Coturnix japonica: one gene and its partners. The protein of the gene in region 4 interacts with the protein of the main gene of each other region in a pairwise test. Links are inferred from orthologs where the notes say so. Each region holds a gene or a part of one and is shown on either strand. Other genes may lie near its edges.

What was found.
Region 1: the proteins of PTN (region 4) and TAF1D interact in a two-hybrid assay, tested with the Homo sapiens proteins (2 studies listed by BioGRID and IntAct). The link is inferred for Coturnix japonica from reciprocal best matches to the Homo sapiens genes PTN and TAF1D.
Region 2: the proteins of PTN (region 4) and SGTA interact in a two-hybrid assay, tested with the Homo sapiens proteins (2 studies listed by BioGRID and IntAct). The link is inferred for Coturnix japonica from reciprocal best matches to the Homo sapiens genes PTN and SGTA.
Region 3: the proteins of PTN (region 4) and UBQLN4 interact in a two-hybrid assay, tested with the Homo sapiens proteins (2 studies listed by BioGRID and IntAct). The link is inferred for Coturnix japonica from reciprocal best matches to the Homo sapiens genes PTN and UBQLN4.
Region 5: the proteins of PTN (region 4) and DNAJB11 interact in a two-hybrid assay, tested with the Homo sapiens proteins (2 studies listed by BioGRID and IntAct). The link is inferred for Coturnix japonica from reciprocal best matches to the Homo sapiens genes PTN and DNAJB11.

What each region holds. Positions count from the first base shown.
Region 1 is NC_029516.1:166,172,860-166,177,046, forward strand, and holds the start of TAF1D (TATA box-binding protein-associated factor RNA polymerase I subunit D), read left to right. Parts: upstream 1-1,380; 5' UTR 1,381-1,490; intron 1,491-1,810; 5' UTR 1,811-1,823; coding exon 1,824-2,050; intron 2,051-2,135; coding exon 2,136-2,592; intron 2,593-2,719; coding exon 2,720-2,895; intron 2,896-3,313; coding exon 3,314-3,374; intron 3,375-3,689; coding exon 3,690-3,803; 3' UTR 3,804-4,187. UniProt on the Homo sapiens protein: Component of the transcription factor SL1/TIF-IB complex, which is involved in the assembly of the PIC (preinitiation complex) during RNA polymerase I-dependent transcription.
Region 2 is NC_029543.1:2,300,410-2,303,232, forward strand, and holds part of SGTA (small glutamine-rich tetratricopeptide repeat-containing protein alpha), read left to right. Parts: coding exon 1-85; intron 86-809; coding exon 810-914; intron 915-1,103; coding exon 1,104-1,242; intron 1,243-1,843; coding exon 1,844-1,906; intron 1,907-2,333; coding exon 2,334-2,371; intron 2,372-2,823. UniProt on the Homo sapiens protein: Co-chaperone that binds misfolded and hydrophobic patches-containing client proteins in the cytosol. Mediates their targeting to the endoplasmic reticulum but also regulates their sorting to the proteasome when targeting fails.
Region 3 is NC_029540.1:77,955-82,057, reverse strand, and holds the start of UBQLN4 (ubiquilin-4), read left to right. Parts: upstream 1-1,291; 5' UTR 1,292-1,321; coding exon 1,322-1,465; intron 1,466-3,301; coding exon 3,302-3,453; intron 3,454-4,103. Other genes in the region: ragulator complex protein LAMTOR2, read right to left, coding at 1-28, 267-356, 749-911, 1,026-1,093. UniProt on the Homo sapiens protein: Regulator of protein degradation that mediates the proteasomal targeting of misfolded, mislocalized or accumulated proteins.
Region 4 is NC_029516.1:54,708,106-54,712,111, forward strand, and holds the start of PTN (pleiotrophin), read right to left. Parts: upstream 2,810-4,006; 5' UTR 2,489-2,809; intron 1-2,488.
Region 5 is NC_029524.1:3,286,702-3,290,215, forward strand, and holds part of DNAJB11 (dnaJ homolog subfamily B member 11), read left to right. Parts: intron 1-789; coding exon 790-887; intron 888-1,235; coding exon 1,236-1,368; intron 1,369-1,506; coding exon 1,507-1,649; intron 1,650-1,990; coding exon 1,991-2,073; intron 2,074-2,621; coding exon 2,622-2,679; intron 2,680-3,228; coding exon 3,229-3,340; intron 3,341-3,514. UniProt on the Homo sapiens protein: As a co-chaperone for HSPA5 it is required for proper folding, trafficking or degradation of proteins.

The DNA of each region.
Region 1 (4,187 bases), about 110 Mb from region 4:
TGACTGATCTGTCAACAAAGATAATGGTTTAGTAATTAAAAACACACTGCTTTCAATATGCAATTTATCTGTCAAATTCACCCGAGAATACATAGATAACAGTAGAATTGTTATTATACCATTGAGGGAAAAACTGACAGCTTCAAGATTAGTGTTTTCTCATGGTTTAGTGGCAGCTATTAGTGGTTTAGTGGCAGCTATTAGTAATATGTGGATGGTTGTACTGAATAATCTTTCAGGTCTTTTCTAACCTTGGTGATTTTATGATTCTATGTGCTTTGGAAGCAGGTGTGCCTACCAGCTCTGCAGCTGCTTCAGAGCATTACATCTGTTAGTCCTCAAACTTCCATCTCAGTACAGACAAAATATGTAATACGCTGAACCTAATTCAAGGGACAGGTCAGTTATCTGTCCTTTGTAAACCCAAAGCCACGCTTTTCTAAGCACAATAACTGCCTTACCCGGTCTTCACTACCTTAATGTTTACTTTTCCAGCATTGGCTATGATGGACTTTCAACCTTGGCTCCCAGTTTCTTATAGGCACGTGTTTCCAAAGTGGAAGAAGGTTGTAGTGCATCTCAAAGCCAAACAAAGGCACCAAAGCAGCAGCAAGTTGTACAGCACTGGACTCTATATCAGCTCAGAGCCTTTCACAGCAAGCTTTGTTCAGAACAGAAATGTTGGAGCTTCTTTTGAAACGAGCTATATTTCAGTCATGCAACAGCATAACCTGCTACGAGGGCAAACCAGCAGCTCCAGGCACAAGCAGCTGGTTACATGCTACCTATAAACCAGCCCCAGAAATCATTAACTCCTTAGGCACACGCCTGCTGCACGTAACAAAATAGGAACCTTTCATGGAAGAAAAAGCGAGACTTTGAGCTCAAAGTTCAGCTACCTCAAGTTCTGCCTGTAACAAGCAATAGAGCAAGAAAGCAAGCTGTCTATGTAGAGTGATTTCCATCTTAGCTGGGGGCTCGTCCGCTTCTATGGGCGATTCTCCCTTCTGTGAAGGAAGCTGTCACAGGAACGCTGCAAACGGGATGGCAGGAAACAACCGACACGTCGAGACACTGCGGCTTTTCTTTTCCAAGCAGGAAAGGGCAGAAAACGGAAAGGAGAAGTTAATGGCTGGATAGAAACGCTTCATAGCGGGGGGCTGGGGGGAGAAGGAAGCACAGCCAGAGCCACAGAGCCAACAGGGACAGCGCCAACGTGCAGATGAACTCAGCAGAGAAGCGAGAAGGGAAATTCAGGCCACGTAAACGAGGGTAAAAAGAGTCTAAAAAGAGTCCCGGAGCCAAACCTGCAGGAGCCACCCTCTGGAGACCCACAGCGAGCGGGAACCGCAGCCAATGCCCACAACCTGCGGCCGCCCATCCCCGCCCCCCTCACGGCACTCCCCGCCCCGTCCTGCTCTCGCGAGAGCCGAGCGCTATTTAAGCTCGGGGGCGGCCATTGCGCGCCCTTTCCGGAGGTGAAGCGTGAGGTGAGTGTTGGGTTGGTGATGGCGGTGCGCTGAATCCGCTGCCATCCGCCGTGTGAGGACCCGCTGTGAGGCTGGGGTAGAATCAAAGCACATCCTGTCGCTGAGCGATTCCTAGACGGAGCGCAAGGAAGGCCCTGGGGCGGGTGGGATGTGGGAAATGGGCTCCTCATGGCGGCCCGGGGCTGTGGTAGAGCGGCGGGAACCGCGCAAAATGTCCGCCCCGGGATGGTGGGCGGGAGGGGGCTACTGTGAGGGAGACACATACGTTCCTTGGATGTGAAAAGCTTTGCCTGGGGTAAAACATATTTAATTTCTTTCAGGGCAGATTAAAACATGAGTGATACAGATGAATCCCACACCTCTTGTTCTGATGATCCTGATGCTCAGAGTCTCGTATCCACTCAGAGGCGAAAAAGATCTAAAATACCTGAGCGTGCAGTGAATGCAAGGAAGAGACGTTTGTGCTCGAGGCAGAAGGACGCCACTCCTGAGGAGTCTTCAGATGAGACTAGTAGTACAAATACATCTTCATCTGAGGTGGATAGCAGCGATTCAGAAATGTGAGTTACCTGGTTCCTTAGAATCACTTACGAACAAGACTCATAAACGTATGTGCTCTGTTGAATGTACACGTTTCTTTTTCAGTGATGTTTCAGCTGCTCGGGGCAGCAAACGCTCTAGGAAATGCACTGCTCCCTCTGCGGAGCAAAAGAGGAGATCGCAGCCTTCAAGGAAACAAGCAGGAGCTGATGCACGAGTGTCTGATGGTGAAAGTCCTGACTCTTTGCTCCCTGAGAGCCCGGTGAGGCCACCTGAACCCTCCCAAAGGAGGAAATCCAAGCTCGATTTGAAAGCCATTTTTGCCTATCACTTCAGAGGAAGGAAGTTTAAAACTGCTGCGCACCGAAGATACAGGAGCGGTGTTTCACGGAAGACAAAGAGACGCTCGGAACCCCCAAAGAAGCGTGGTGGGAATCGGCCCATGACAGCCCCGCCTCAGGAGCGAAGGAGAAGGCTTCGGGATCCAGGCTTTCAGTTCCCTTTTGTTGAAAAACATTATGGGAGGAAACATATTCCCGTAAATATGGTTCTTAGCTATGAGGTGAGCCCTGTGTTTTGTGGGAGAGAACCAGCTGACCTAAGGCTGTCATTTAATGTTACAGTCTGGTTGATTATATAAATGGTTCATTTCTTTGTTTGTATTTAAGATCTATTCCTTTTTTTTGCAGCAAGCAGCTGCGAAGGGATATTTCCAGTATGTTGAAATGCTTAAAGCTGAAGAACACCTCAAAAAGGCTTTGAAATCCCTTGAAGCAAATGAAGACTTAGAAAGGGAATGTCTGACAGCGCGGAAACATAAATATTTAGATGACAAAGGCCCCATTTCTCCTATCCAGGAGACAAAGTAAGTTCATTTTCAGTAGTATAAAAGTTGCTGTTTTGTTCTCAACTTAAAGTCTGTGTGTTCAGCATTGCTGTCTTTATTGTCTGGCACGTGCATTATATTAATTGGTGAAATACCTCTTGGATTTTTCTGTAACTCAGTAATGGATTCTGTTGGCTTAGCACTGCTGTGTTGTGTGCTCTCTCCTCATCCTTAAAAGAGCAGAGAGAGAAAATAAGTAACAGCTCATGGCTTTAGATAAGGATCTTGTTCCACAGGCTCTCAGTGTAGCCTCATGTAGAAGTGGGAGCATCCCAGACCTGTAAGCTGTAGCGTTTCCATATGCATTATGAGGAAGTGGTGCTGCATTAGGAGAACAGCTTGTTTATGCTGCGCTACTGTAGAAGTACAGATTTGATTTGAATTTCCTGCCTTTCAGCAATGACGATGATAACTGCTTGGGCTCTGATAATCCAGAAGACTTTGATGTCAGAGTAGTGGTGAGTAAACATCCATAATTTGAAAACTATAACCTGTTTTCTCTTTTGAGGTGTTAAATAAGTAACAGATGATGCTTTGAGTACTTAATTCTTGAGCTTGGATCTGGAATTAACCAGTTTGTGTGGTTTTGGTGTGTAGTACAAGAGGAAATTGGTTTGAGAGAAGTCTGAGCTCTTTGGAATTATGTTGGGATGTGCGGAAATTGGGCAGTTCTCTGAAGCGTCCATAAAACTTCCTAAAGGAAGTTAGTAATAAATTGGTACTTCAAGTGTCTCCAAACCAGACTTGAGAATGCTGTTTTTTTTTGTTCTCAGGACAAAAGCTGTTTCATTATAAGCAGCAAAATTCCCAACAAGAAGAAGAAATCAAAGGCCAAAACAAAGCGAGCAAAGTCAGCTGGAGTGATTGAAGAAGAATGCTGCTGCTAAGTGATCCTGCTGAAATAGCACCTTCCGCAGCCTGGCTTGTGGAACCAGCAGGTCACAGAGCTACAGGACTAAGAGTTCCAGCTCTTGTAATTAAGCAGTGTAGAATAAACTAATTCTCCTAAATCCAATATCATAATCTCAAGCTGCTTTAAAACAACTAGCAGTGTGATGAAAAGTTCTATTCCCTTCTTCCCCTCCTCAGTCCAGAGTGGGGTCTTACGAAGGTGACTGAGCAGAGATAGAAGCCCTTCAGCACAACAGGGACTATCTGCTGATCTTGTAGCATGAATGGGAACTTGTTGCGGTTGCTCAGACTAGATGTAGGAGTGGGGTTCTGGCAGGGTAATGCAGTGAGGTGGGTGTGGAGTCCTGCTCATTCTGCAG
Region 2 (2,823 bases), on a different chromosome or scaffold from region 4:
AGGCAGAGAACTTTGAAGCTGCTGTGTCTTTCTATGGGAAAGCAATTGAGTTAAATCCATCCAACGCTGTGTATTTTTGCAACAGGTACTGCTTCTTTCTTCCCTTGCACACCAGTGGTTTTGGCCCTTACTTCAAGCTCAAAATCCACCTTTTAAAGTGTTGTAGGCCACTTGTTCCATCGCTTGCTCTATGTGGTGCTTTTGCTTTTGTTTTTTCTTTAGCTCAATGACTTGCTCTTGGCAGCTCCATGCCCTGGCACTTCTCAATAGGATGTGGGTGTGGAAACAAACTCTTCAGCATTTTTAGGAGAGATAAAAGGGTTCCAAGGGACGCCGCCTGCTTTCATACAATTAACTCTTTAAGTAAAACAGAGGGCTGGGATTTGAAAGGCCTTGTTGAAAACAAAAGCAAAGGAGTAAAGTGAGGCAAGCTGAAGGCCTGCTATCAAGAACCTTATGTGGAGGGTATGGGAAAATGGGAGAGGGGGTCCTTATGGCTCAGAAATGGAGATGTAACGGAGGCTGAGAGATCAGACTGAGCCAGGGATGGGATGCTTTCCTGCTTCCTTCCTCTTGGAAGGCCTGTAAGGAGGAGTGAGAGCTCAGATCTGTTTGCAGTAGGACTAGAAGGTGAAAGCTGAGTGTTTGGATAGCGACCTGCTCATGTAGGCACAGCCTGGATTTATGTCAAGTTCACACTTTGACTTTCCCTTTAGAGCAGGAGGCTGCAGAGAGGGAGCAGAGGTGACCTTGATCAGCACATTCAAGCTGATAAGTGTTTTCTGCCCATCTTTTCTTCTTCTCTCCAGAGCTGCTGCGTACAGTAAATTAGGAAATTATGCTGGAGCAGTCAGAGACTGCGAAAGAGCAATAGGCATCGATCCAAACTACAGCAAAGCTTACGGCAGAATGGGGTAAGTACGAGAGCAGGTTTTTGTGCCAGAATTGTAGTCTCAAAGTGCTTTGTGGTAATTACACTATCAGCAATGTTCTGCCCTGGAATGCCGTGTAGAAATACCTGGTGTTTCACCTCTGCTGGGGGTGGAGGAAGGCTGCGAGTGCTTATCTCCCTCTTTGACTTTCTTTTATTTCCCCTTTAATAGCTTGGCTCTCTCCAGTTTAAATAAACACACAGAAGCTGTTGTCTACTACAAAAAAGCTCTGGAGCTCGATCCAGACAATGACACGTATAAATCCAACCTTAAAATAGCTGAACAGAAAATGAAGGAGACTCCCAGTCCGGTAAGTGCTGAAATCAATGCTTAAGTGTGGATGAGATTGAATGGAGATTTCTTTACTGTGCTGCTGCAGGTGCTGGCAGGAGCTCGGTTGTGTTTAGAATACAGCTCTTGCATGCAGATAGATGGAGGGGGGATGATTAATGAGTGCTGCTGTGACCCCCCCCAATAAAAAACCCAGAGAGAGCAACTTGTGTGCTGTGCTGGCACGCAGTCACCTTGGGCTGGGAAGTGAGGCTGATTAGAAGGAGCTTTTAGAAACACTATTTTAGTATCTTAAAGGGGATTTCTGCCTTTTAGAGCCTCCTGTAGCACGGAGGTGGGCAGGTGGGTGTGTTTGACTTGGCAGGTGTGGTGGGTTGGGGCAGGACGTCACTAGCACGGCTGGGCTGGTGCAACAATGCGTGTGATGCCATCATTGCTATCAGCATGTGCCCTTTGCCTCCCTGAGTGAGCTGATCCCCATCCTGCCCTTTGTCATGCTTTAAAGACCAGCTTCTGATAACACTGGGAGCATCGAGGTACCATTCATTGCAGCGTGCTGTTTATTGCATCAGAAAGTGAGAGGATGTCACCACCCACGTGTGGTGTCTTTATTCTTACAGACCGGAGGTCCCGGAGGATTCGATTTAGCTGGCTTGCTGAACAACCCTGGCTTCATGAGTATGGTAAATGCGGGCACAGATCACAGCCAGGCTGTACTCAGTCTGTGCATTTATCCATTAAAGATGAAACGTTTTGGGACGTGGAGTGGGGTGTTCCTGTGTCTCATGAGCAGCTTTGCTGTCGTTTCTTGGTGTTGCTGCGAGGAAGCTGTGCTTGTATTTTGCACCCAAGTCAAATAAAGAGCCAGTGACTTATTCACAGGCTGCTCCTTGTGACGTGCTGGGTGTGGAAAGGGTGCCTGTTCTGCATTACCAGCCTTGTCTTGTGTGTTGCACTGTGCTTCTCTTTGCTATTTTTGTCCTATTGATCTGTTTCCAAGTATTTCTGCCTTCGCTTTGTTCCTAGTTGAATGGCACAACATCTGCATATCTACCCAGGCATTTCTGACTAAATAGGGTGTCATTTTTTTTTCTTCCCCTCTTTAAATAGGCATCTAACCTAATGAACAATCCACAAGTACAACAGCTGTAAGTTTGATCCCGCGTTCTCTTTCCTCTTTGAGTCACTCCTTTGAGGCTGTGGTGGGAGGGGGGTGGGTGCTGGAACCAGAAATGTGGAAGGCAGCCCTTAAAGCAGCCGTGAACCAGTGTGTGTTTTGAGTACTCTGGGCTGTGTTGAAGAGGAACCTCAATAGGAGGCATCTCACCCTCTGTTAGAATATCTCTATTCCTTGTAATGCAGAGTTATGGGGATCAATTCACATCTGTCCGAAAGCTGAGACAATATAAAACCATGAAGTGAATAAAGCCTCTCCAGTCTGTCCCTTCAGAGCTCAGGCAGTCAGTGGAGCCCTTCTGGAGCTCAGCCTTACTGTATGAGGCAGCCCTGCTACAAAGCCAAACATCTGCCACCATTTCCATTTGCTTCTGCCTGCTCCTTCCACTCCTGTTGTCAGCTGAGGTTCTGTGCCAGGTGCAGC
Region 3 (4,103 bases), on a different chromosome or scaffold from region 4:
CCTCCAGGTATTGCACCAGCGCCTGTGCCTGGGGCAGGGATGGTGGTGAGGGGTGCAGCCCCCAGCGCCCACATTCTGTGGGCAAACCCCCGTCCCACCCCAGCACCAATCTGGGACCCACGCAGACAGTTCCCATTTTGATTGCAATTCCTCCCCCATCTCTCCCATCCTCTTCCTCCCGGCTTTAACCCCGTGGCTCTTTCACACCTCACCGTAATGCAGCCCCCCACCCCCTCACCCCCATCCCCTCACCCCCATCCCCTCACCTTGGCTTTCAGCATCCCAAATCCCACCGTCTCCTTGGCGTACATGCACAGCAGGAGGTTCGCCACGCGGGTGATGGCCACGCGCCCCTCCTGCCGGAGAGAACCGGGGTCACACGGAGATTCAGGGGGTCACAGCGGGATTTATGGGGTCACAGTGGGATTTATGGGGTCACAGTGGGATTTATGGGGTCACATTGAGATTTATGGGGTCACATTGGGATTTATGGGGTCACACTGAGATTTATGGGGTCACACTGAGATTTATGGGGTCACACTGAGATTTATGGGGTCACATTGGGATTTATGGGGTCACACTGAGATTTATGGGGTCACATTGAGATTTATGGGGTTCACACGGACCCCTTGGGCTCCCACACAGAAGCTGCTGCTGAACACCTCGGATCCCACTGTGGGTGCTGCTGTGGGTCCCGCACACCGGGGGTCCCGCATGGATCCCGTGGGGTCCCGCAGCCGTTCCGTACCATGCAGTCCATGAGGATGAAGCGCAGGTTGTCCTCGTTGAACGCGTGGTGCCCGTTCTTGTCGTAGGCCACCCAGATGTTGCTGGCGATGGCCGCGGTCACGCGGGCGTCCGTGTCTCCGTATCCCGAGTAGGCCAAGAGCGAGCCCTCATTGTTCAGCAGCCTGCAACGGAGCGGGGAACGGTCAGCTCCGGGCCGAGCCCCGCCGTGACGGTACGGTCACATCACACCGCAATGACCGTACGGTCGCACCGCCCCCGGCCCCGTCCCCGCTCACAACGTGCTCTGGACGCCGCCGGTGTTGGCCTGGCTCAGCACCTGCGTCAGCGCTTTGGGCCGCAGCATGGCAGGCAGCGCGGGGCGCGGGGCCCGTTCCCGGTGTAGGCCGCCCCCGTTCGGTGTTTGCTGCCGTTCGGTTCCGTTCGGGGCGGTTCCGCGCTCCGTTCCGGTTCCGGTTCCGTCGCCTCTCGATCCTCCCCGCCGCCAGGGGGCGCTGTGCTGCGGCGCGGGCCGTGGCGGCGCTCTGTCCCGGCCTTTCTCTGTCGGCCAGGGCTGGCGGGGCGGGCGGCGAAGATGGCGGAGCCGAGTGGCGGCGGCGGGCCGGGCCCCGGCGGGTCGGAGCTGGGAGGTCCCGGCGGGGCGCTCATCCGCGTCACGGTGAAGACCCCCAAGGACAAGGAGGAGATCGTCATCGCCGACGGCGCCTCCGTGCGCGAGGTGGGGACGGGACGGAGGACGGGGCCTAGGCCTGAGCGCTGCGAGGGGCCGCGGGAGACACGGGCCGCGAGACCGAGGAGGGTGCGGAGCGGGAAGGTGGCGGGAGGGGTTGGGCGAGAATTGGAGGGAGGAACCTCGGGGGTGTGAGGAGCCGGGGGGGGGAAGGTTGTGAGGGGCGGGAGCGGAGCTGGGCTGAGCGGAGCTGGGGCCTCCCCGGCCATGGGGGGCGTGGGGCCGGGGTTGGGCTGCAGCGGAGTGACGGCGTGTGTTGTGCGGGAGCCGAGGGGCTGGAACCCGCCGGGGGGCGAGAACGGGGCGTTGTCGGGGCGGTGCGGGAGGGGGGGGCGGGATGTGCCGGTGGGAACGGGAAGGGGGGGCCGGGAGGGGTCTGCGGGCTGGGGGGGGTGTGAGGGGCACGGCCCGGGGGTTGTGCTGCTGGTAGTGGGGGTGTTGTGGGACAGCGGGGAGGCGCTGCGTGGGGCGGCTGGGCCTGGAGGGATCAGGGATCTTCTCCCTTAGGGCCCGGAGATGCCTCAGGTCAGGGCACATGGGGGCGCGGCTCCGGGGCTGGCAGGAGCTGCTGGAAGAGCAGCGGGAGCTGCAGCTTGGGGAGCTGAGAGGCAGCGGGTGGGTGCTGTGATGGGACGCGGCCCTGGGGCTGGGCTGCGGGGAGCTGTGGGGCAGTGGATGTGTGCGGTGGGGCTGAGGCCAGAGGCTGCTCTGTCCGTCCTTCTCAGACCTTTCATTTCTGCCTTTGGGGCAGAGGGAGAGTGAAGCAGAGGGAAGGGGACGTCAGACATGTGGGTTTGCTGTGAGCAGGGAGCTCCACAGGGGCACTGTGTGTTTGCAGGGCAGCAGAGGGTTCACAAGAAGCGTTGTGCAGGTGGCAGTGCCCGCCGGGGCAGAGTGGTGTCAGTGCTGTGGATCTTGGCTGTGTGTGTGTTTTGCTGTGTACTTTGATGTGGGCTTCAGGGCACGAGGTTGCAGCGTGTGCTGGGAGCTGGGCAGGAGCTGTGTGCTGTGCGTGGCCCTGCTGCTTCCCAGCCCTGTGCTGTCAGCGTGCAGAGCAGCGGGTGAAGCTTCACGCCCTGGGTCACTTCAGTGCCAGGGGTCCGTCCTCCCAGGCCCAGTTTTTCGGGAGTTCTGGACCATGGCAGCGAGCTGCCCCAGGAAAGCTGTGATCTTCTGCTCCCAGCCTTTCCATGTGGATTTCCTGAACTCTGTGGCTTCCAAATGCAAAGGTTTCTATTCTCACCTATTGACTCGGGGACGCCCCAGCTGAGCTGGCGGTGACAATCTTATTGGCAGGTGCTGGTCCCTCCCCATCACACAGCAGAGATGTTGGCAGTGGGTGCTGTGGATAGTCACAGGAATAGAAGACCTAGTTTACATCCATTGGCTGATAAAGGACTGTGCCCTTTTCCGCACAGCTCTGTCCTGTATTGAATCAGAGCTGGGCTTTCCTTGGGAAATAATAAGATGAGCGGAGGCAAATAAAGCTCAGTCATTCTGAAGATAAATGGTGGGTTTGGATCAGGCCTCAGGGGCTCGTTGGTTTTGAAGCCTTCAGCTCATCTCCAGGTGACTGTTGTGAACTTTACTCCCCACGTTCTGAAGCAGCTCAGTTGCTCAGCTTTGCTTTTTCCCCTCGTGTGCTCTCAGCAGCTGGTGCTGCATTGCTGCTATTGCAGGCAGCAATACCTCTGTTCTGTCGGGGTGCTGAAGCTCTGCTGGTTCCTTTCGCCGTTTGTGCAGTGAATGTTGGGTACCTGGAGCGTTACCTTCAGTTTCCTTCCTTTGCTCTTCTGCCTGAAAAGCGCCGGGTCTGTTTTTCAGTTCAAAGAAGAGATTTCCAGGCGGTTCAAAGCCAAACAGGATCAGCTGGTTCTGATCTTCGCTGGGAAGATCCTGAAGGACGGAGACACTCTGAATCAACACGGGATCAAAGACGGGCTGACCGTGCATTTGGTCATTAAGACTCCACAGAAGTAAGGAAGTGTTCCATCATGGGGGTCTGGGGGTGAGCGGGTGGTGGTGAGGCACGAGGGCTCTCCTTGCCACAGCTCTGCCCTACAGCTCTGGCTTTATCGTACAGCTCTGGCTTTATCGTACAGCTCTGGCTTTATCACTTGGCCCATCATTGCCCTGGGCTGTGCACCTGTGTGAACCTGCGGGGGGGGGGGGGTAAAAGCATCCTTAATGCAATTAGCATGCGTGGCTTTGTGTGTGCAGAGCCTTTACAACTGGCAGTCTGGGAAGAAGCCATTGGAACACGGTTGTGTCCTCCATCTGATAACGATGACTCACTGTTAGCAGAAATTACCTTCCCAGCTAATAGTAATGTGAAAGCAATACCCAGGGTTTATTTCACCTCCTGCTGTCTACCCTCACCCTGCAAACTGCGGTACCATCTCCGAAGGTAAGGAGAGCACTGTCCTGGCTTTTCATTTTATTCTCTACCTGCCGCAGAGAAGTGCTGACTGAAGGCATTACGGCCCCTTCCTTTGCTGAGAGAAACCAACTGCTCGTTCTCCTGCTTCCTTCCTTTTTTGGTTAAGTTTCCTATCTGCTTTGTCCCCCACTCCCACTCAGGGGTTTTCAGCGTCGCTCAGATGGGTCTGGAAAACACACAGCCAGT
Region 4 (4,006 bases):
AGATGAGAATCACTGTGTGTGTGCGTGCGTTACAGTGACCTAGTTTGTTCAAAGACAGCATTTTGAATGGTTTATTATAAAGAGACTTGAAACAAAGAGACTTCCTCAATTAAAGTCCTGAAATGAATCCTCTCAATGAAAATGCTTTTGATACACTGATCAGCAAGAGGTTGTAAATATCGAAGCAAAGCTTGCATTGTTAAAAACCAGTTCCCACAGAAAACACCACTGTTACAGTATAGGTAATGAGGCCCCCTGAACAGAGCGTTAAGTTGCATGAGCAATGTCCATTCCAAACCTAATGCCCCAGTGTTCTACTTGAACATACAATAATCCTATTTCCTGCTGCAAAAAAAAATGCACTCAAATAGAGCAAGAGTTGAGTGACTGTAAAAGACTTTTTAATTATCATCTGAGGACTCTGGAATAACCGCCCCTAACATGAAAAAGAAACATATGACTTGAAAAAGAAGAACCATGCTGGAACCATGAATGTCACAAGTCAGCTAAGTAATAAAACACGCCAGCAAGGAAAAGATGAACCTACGCAAAACATACATTAGCACAGGTGAGTCCTTAGTGCCAGTTGGAGTGTAGTGGAATACAGGTATATGGTACCAGGATACCACTATGTTTTATATTACTGTAGCCAAACCAACATAGCTGGCAAAGATATATCAGCTACAGAGTGAATCTCAAAGAACTGTTGATTAGCAGCGGGATAACTGCAAGAAGTATGCTTTAGTCAGGCCGTCTCTGCACTACAGACCAAGAATAACCTGTTGGAAGAAGAAATATTTGTTGCTAACTTCCATTTTTTAATCTTAGATTTTGCTTTGAAGCATGCTAAAATCAGTAAGCTTCTCTCCTTCAATTTCACCCAAAGCTCCATAAGTAATAACTCATCAAAGAGTTCAGTGTAAGCTGGAGATGGGTATATTAGATCCTTAGATCCCCTCATTTTCCTTCTCTTTAAGGAAAAACCTCTGAATTACACAGCAGGTTTTTTGTTGCTGAGGCTTTTTTGTTTGTTTGTTAGTTTCGTTTATCATTTCCAATGAAGTACCTTCTCCACTCACTTCTACATTTTCACCTCTATACCAAATTAATAGTTTTTGTCACAGATATTCACATTCCCTTATCCTTTCATAGGTTATTCTTTTCAGAGTTTTTTTTTTTCTCTTCTGTTTTATTTCCAGGCTGTTTCTTTTCAGGGAGGAAACAGAAATACATTTGGGAAAAAAAAAAAAAAAAAAGAATAAGTTTGCTTTGTACACCAGCTCAAGCACATCGTCTTGAAAACATAAAGCACAAGAATTTCTTTACCATGACTTTTCTTGTACCTTTCCCTCCTCCCTCTGTTCCTTCTCTATTGCTCCCTAATGCAACCAAAGTTATACACTTACTCTGTTGACCAAAACATTGAACTTCTTTGCTAAAAGCTTAGAATAGTCATGGCCAAAGGGTAACAAAGGAAATGACAGCAAGTTCAAGAGCTGATGGTAGTATTCTTCCACTGTACTACAAGCCATTTAGAGTAAATAGGATCTACTTTAAAAACATACCACTATCCATAGCTGCAGAGTTATCTCACAGAGAAGGATTTAACACGTTGCAAACGTTTCCACAATGCTCCTAAGAACCAGTTAGTCTATACTGTAATCCAGCTTCAGAGTAAACTGCTGAACTAACACACAGTAGGCATTCACAACCAAAGTGGATCACTTGCCATGCAGAAGAGATAGGTATATGACACCCACTGGCTATATAAAAAGTGTGGGAGAATCCGTTTTCTGAATAGAAGAAAACTGTATTTTTAATGGGACTTTCTCCCCACCCATCCCTCCAGAAGAAAGAGAACACAAACTAACAACAGTAGCTATAAATAAATCAGCACTAGTTAGATTCAGTTGTTTCTGCGGGAGAAAAGTAGAAATAAGGCTAAGTACAACGGAAAATATAATAGCAATAGAGAGTAGTGCTCAGGCCGACGGTACAATGCAACCTCGGTTATCCAGTCTCAGTCGGGACACTCCTGGCACAGAGCACCTGGAAGCTGCAGGAGTTCTGCTGCCCTGGAATCACTGCTCCCCTTCTGTCCTCTCAAATTGGATCAGCCAGAGAACTCCTGTTCCCTTCTCTGCTGTGTCACGTCCCCTCACCACCCCTCTCCTTCTTTATCCTCTTTATCGCTCCCACATCCCGACACATCCCCATCCCGAATCGAGCGGCCAAACGCACGTGCGATCCCGAAGCACCCCACCACCCCAGAGCAACCCCAGACTTCAGCCCCAACCTGCCCCTCTGCCAGGTGTTCCCCAATCACCCCCGGGGCGGGGAGATCAGAGGAGACAAGGAAGTATCAGGGAGAGTCCCTGGGAGCGGGGTGAGAGGGGGAAGCGCTTCGCATCTCGCCCGAAGGAGCGGGCTCGGGGAGCAGCGTCCCTCTGGCAGCCCCTGGCAGCCCTCGCCGTCCCCTCGGACTTACTTCGGGCGGCGAGAAGCGCTTCTCCCGCAGCAGTAAGGGGCGAGCCGCGAGCGTCCCTGGTGCGCGTCGGGTGCTGCTGGTGCTGCGGGTGCTGCCGGCGATGCGGCTCCGCTTCCCCACGGACCTTCGACTCACTCCCCTCTTCTCCCGCGCCCCGTCTCTCTCTCCCGCTGGAGATTTCTTCCCTGAGATTTTTATACTGGAGGCAGGGAACCTGATCCTCGCTTTGACTCGACAGAGCCCGGGCTGCGGCGAGCCGCCGAGAGGAGGGAGGCAGAGGCAGGCGGGCGCCGGGGCAGAGCTAGCGGCCGCGCTGCCCCCTCGTGTGATGATGCGGCGGGGGCGCGCCGTCGGGCGGGTCACCCGCGGGGCAGCCTCGCCTCCACCGCCCGAGGGGGGTGTAGGGGGGCGGGACGGGGCCGCTCCGCCCGCACACCGGGTCCCGGGGAGCCCCCGCTGAGGGAAGAGTGTTCTCCGCCCGCACCGGGACCGGACAGTGCCCTCCCTGCCTGCCCCTCCACTCTCAGCCTTGCTTGAGGCTACAGCCTCCTAATGGGCACCAATTGGATCTTGCCTGGAGAGGACTTGGCTGGCAGGAGCACGGGGAGCTCTAATTCTACTTGCAGTGTCCCACTTAGACTTGGACTGGAAATACTGGGTTGTGGGGGGAACAGCATCTAATTTCAGCCCTAGCTGAAAATGCCACAAGAACAGCTTTTCTCGTGGCATTCAAATACTTCTGGTTACTGGAGTTATATCAAGGTTTCCACTTTTTTTTTTTTTTTTTTTTTTTTTTTCCCCCCAAGTTTTCCAACTTCTAGGTTCATTACATGCATTGAATAAGAATGTACCCCCAACCCACAGCTTGGTTTAGAACAAAGTGGACTTGTTCCAAAGTCCAGGCAATTTCTGTCTAATTCCTGATCCCCAGAGCAATTCTCTCTCTCGATTTGAAAGACTGAGTCCATTGACTGCTTGGGTCTCAGCTTGCGTCTCCTGCTCCAGGTCTGCACAGAAATCCAGTTCAGATTCCTCTCCTGTTTCCAGAGGAATGAGCTAAAAAAGTAATTTGTCTGGCACCGTACGCATTGCATCATCTAACACCTACCATCTGTGACAATGGAAAGCACTGTGTGGCTGGTCCCAGCGTGGGCAATTGCACCCACCTGGAGTCTTTCTTAGTAAAGTAAACTATTCCCTTCCATCCACACCTTGGCATCTTCTTTTCATCATGCAGTTATGTGTTTAGTCCTGGCATGGTTGTTAAGGATTTGCACCACTGGCAGATTTAATGACAGTGATGTAAGTTAAAACAACAGCTTTGATTTGCAGTGTAAAGTGGTGACTTGAGAAGGAGAGAACATTCCTTCTAACAGCTGGCCGAGTGGAAATGAGCACTCAATACTACACTTCACGTTCATGTTTCAGACTATGCAAAGCTGAATAGAGATACCTGATAGCCAGCTTGTACCTTCCTGAGGGCTTCTCAATGAAATTCTGGCAGTCCAAGCACCACGT
Region 5 (3,514 bases), on a different chromosome or scaffold from region 4:
GAGGCTGCCTTTCATCATTAAACCAGCTTTTCTCCAGCTGTTTCCATTCCTCTCTGAAATCTAACCTGGCAACTTCAGCCTTCCAAAAAATAGCCAGTGGGCCAGGAAAGGGAAGGAAGGCAAAATCTGGCTGGAAATCTGTGGAGTGGAGAATAAAAGCAAAGATAATACCTAGGAATTAAAACTGAAGCTTTGTGACCTTGAGTGCTGTCTATTGGGATGCACTGTTCTACCTCAGGACTGAGATTGCTCCTGAATTTTGCTGCCCATAGGAACTGAGTCAGTGTTGAAGTTGGTGTGGAGTTATTGTACTCAGCAGGTTCAGCTTGGTAGGCAAACTTGCTGTCATTGCTAATAATTATGAACTATGTGTCAGATAAATGAATTCCACGTGCTTAAAGAACTGAGAAACCAGGGCTCTATTACATGTTACGTGATTTTCTTCTTTTCACAGAGGAGCAGTTCCTGCTTTGTAAGACATGATTTTGAGTTATTATCCCCTTCTGAGTCTCTCTCAACTCATTCAGAGTAAACTCAATATATTTTTAATATCCTCTGTGTTGCATCTGCCATTTTAATATATTAATTCTAACTTTTATGAGGTTAAACAACACAAGAAATGTTTAATTTCCAAGCACAGCAGGCAAGTTCTAGCCAATGCTTCTGTGCTGTAATGCACTTCTACTTGCCCCCCATCTAAGAGCTCTGAAAAGGCTCCTCTTTGAGCTTTGTGTAAGCATCCAGGTGCCCTGTGGGTGAACACCTTGTCCTTCTGTGTCCTCTTGCCAGGTGCTGTCAGATGAGGAGAAGAGGAAACAGTACGATGCGTATGGCGAGGAGGGGTTGAAGGATGGGCACCAGAGTTCCCATGGAGACATCTTCTCACAGTAAGGAGGTTTTACCTGTTTGAGTTATTTCACAGTCAGAGCTTTAATTCTGTGATGCTTGTGCGTGAATTTGATGCGGGTCAATTCAGTGTTAAGACCTCGCACCTAGTCAGGAGGCAGTGACAGTTAAGGATATGAAGAAATGCACACATATTCCACATGTTGTTCTTGTGTGTCTTGTCTTGGTCCCATCTCCAAGATCAGTGAATTGAAACCAGCGTTGTCTTCCCACATAAACAGCTTGGTTTTCCTAAGCAAAGAAATCTCAGGCACCCGTTGGTCCTGCCTTAGGTGGCTGGCTTCTTGGCCAGAATTCCTTCCAGAACTAACTGGTGTGTTTCTCTCCAGCTTTTTTGGGGACTTTGGATTCATGTTTGGAGGTAGCCCTCGCCAACAGGACAGGAACATCCCTCGGGGCAGCGACATCATTGTGGACCTGGAGGTTACACTGGAGGAGGTGTATTCAGGAAACTTCGTAGAAGTAAGTTTGCTGGCCTGTTGGTCTCTCCAATGTTACCAAGTTTCAGATGACTGGATTGGCTGCTGTATTCAGATTGTGTGATCAAGACCTGGGGTGCTGGCGTGTGTGCTGGTGTCAGCTTCTTCCTCTTGGTTGCAGGTTGTCAGGAACAAGCCAGTGGCAAGACAGGCACCTGGCAAACGGAAATGCAATTGCCGGCAGGAGATGAGGACCACACAGCTGGGCCCTGGGCGTTTCCAGATGACTCAAGAAGTTGTTTGCGATGAATGTCCCAATGTCAAGTGAGTTGTGCTCTTCAGTGCTATATGCTGTTAATTCAAAAACCTGCCACTAGAGGGAGAAGAGTGTCTGTACAACCAGGAATATCTGGGGAATATCAAAGCACTTAACACGGGTTTCTCGTTTCCAAGAAGACAGTCTTAATTATTAAAGTAGAAATGAGTAGATCTATTAGACGAAGAACTTACTCAATTTGTAAATAAGTGAGAAGGGCAGCATTTGGCTTCCAGCTCTAAGTGTAAGCAAGGAATGTGTCATTTGTAGGGGTGTTCTCATTTTCCAGTAACAAAGCAAATGCTACCACCTAATGCTGAAAACTGTGCTTGCATATTCCCCCTTGCAGGCTTGTGAATGAAGAGCGAACGCTAGAAGTGGAAATAGAGCCAGGTGTGAGGGACGGTATGGAATATCCCTTCATTGGTGAGGGTATGTATACGGGCAGTGCCCAGCTTATGACTTGCTTCTTTTCTCTAATACAAGGCTGATCTTTATGGCAGTGTGAAAGTGTCCCAGCTCTGCTTTAGGTAAATGTTCAGGACACGTTATGTGAAGTTCTGCATCCAGAGTGTGCTGCTCAAATCCAGTAGCCTGGTCTTTGCAAGTCTGGGTAACACTCTTGAGATTCTCTCCTTTTGTTAAGAAATATTAAAGAACATTTGCCCCATACTCCAGTATGTGAAGGAATCCCTCCTATAGAAGGAGGTTATGTCCTTTATTTATTAAAGGATGGTTCTCATTACTGCGCGGGCAGGTCTTCAGAACAGCAGAGAGGGGTGAATTTGAAGTAGCACTCTGAAAATCCTAAACTGTTTAGTAAAAGAAATACATGTCAGCAGGGTTTTAGTCACAAGAGAAACAACTGGTTGGTTTTTTTTTCCCTTTGACATATGAGCTGCAAATCTCTATTGTATTTAATATGCTGCTTGTCTCTTTAGCTGTTTCTGGCCGGATAAACAGCTCTTCTTCCTTCACAGGGGAACCCCATGTGGATGGGGAGCCAGGTGATTTGCGTTTCCGAATAAAGGTTCTCAAGTAAGTGACTGGCCTTGTTAGACCACTCTTTCTAGTTACTATCAAGGAACTTGCAAACAGTTTTCTGGCTAGTGTTGCCTGCTTGGCTTGTGTCTAGTTTATCCTTCAGTACAATCAGGGCTCAGGTATTCGGGACGGTGCAGGATGTTCAATCCTGAGGATTCTAGAGATTCACTGCTGTCACGATGCTGCAGTGGTATTCTACTTCTGTTTCCCTTGAATTCTGGCATAGATTAGTCCCTGCCTGAATCATGTGATATCTCCTTTTTCCATAAACATACTATTTCCCTATTGTAAGAAAATGTGCTGCAAGGAAAGACTGGATGAGTCACAATTTGACACTCCTTACCACTCACTGCTCTGGAAATAGAAAGGCTATAAGTAGGATGCTTTGCACACAGGAAAACAAAGCTAAGTTTCATTCATTCTTGACTTCCTCTCTGGTTTATGTGAAGTCTCCAATCTCTTTTCACAAATGGATGGGAGGAAGCTGGAGAATCTCCTTTTCCATGGGAAAAGGAGGAAAGCTACAATCTCTTATTTCCGCAGGCACCCAGTCTTTGAAAGAAGAGGAGATGACTTATACACAAACGTGACAATCTCGCTGGTCGAGGCACTTACAGGCTTTGAAATGGATATAGCCCACTTGGATGGGCACAAGGTGAGGAAAAGATTTGCTTTCTTGCTCTAAATAAGTAAAATCTACCTGCTGGCCTTTTCTGGTTGGCTTTGCTAGAGACCTCCAGACCAATTTATCCAGAGTCAAAACAGGCTTGGTACAAGGAGTGAATGATGAGGATCAAGGTTCCAGCCCATCAGAGTAGCAACTGCATGT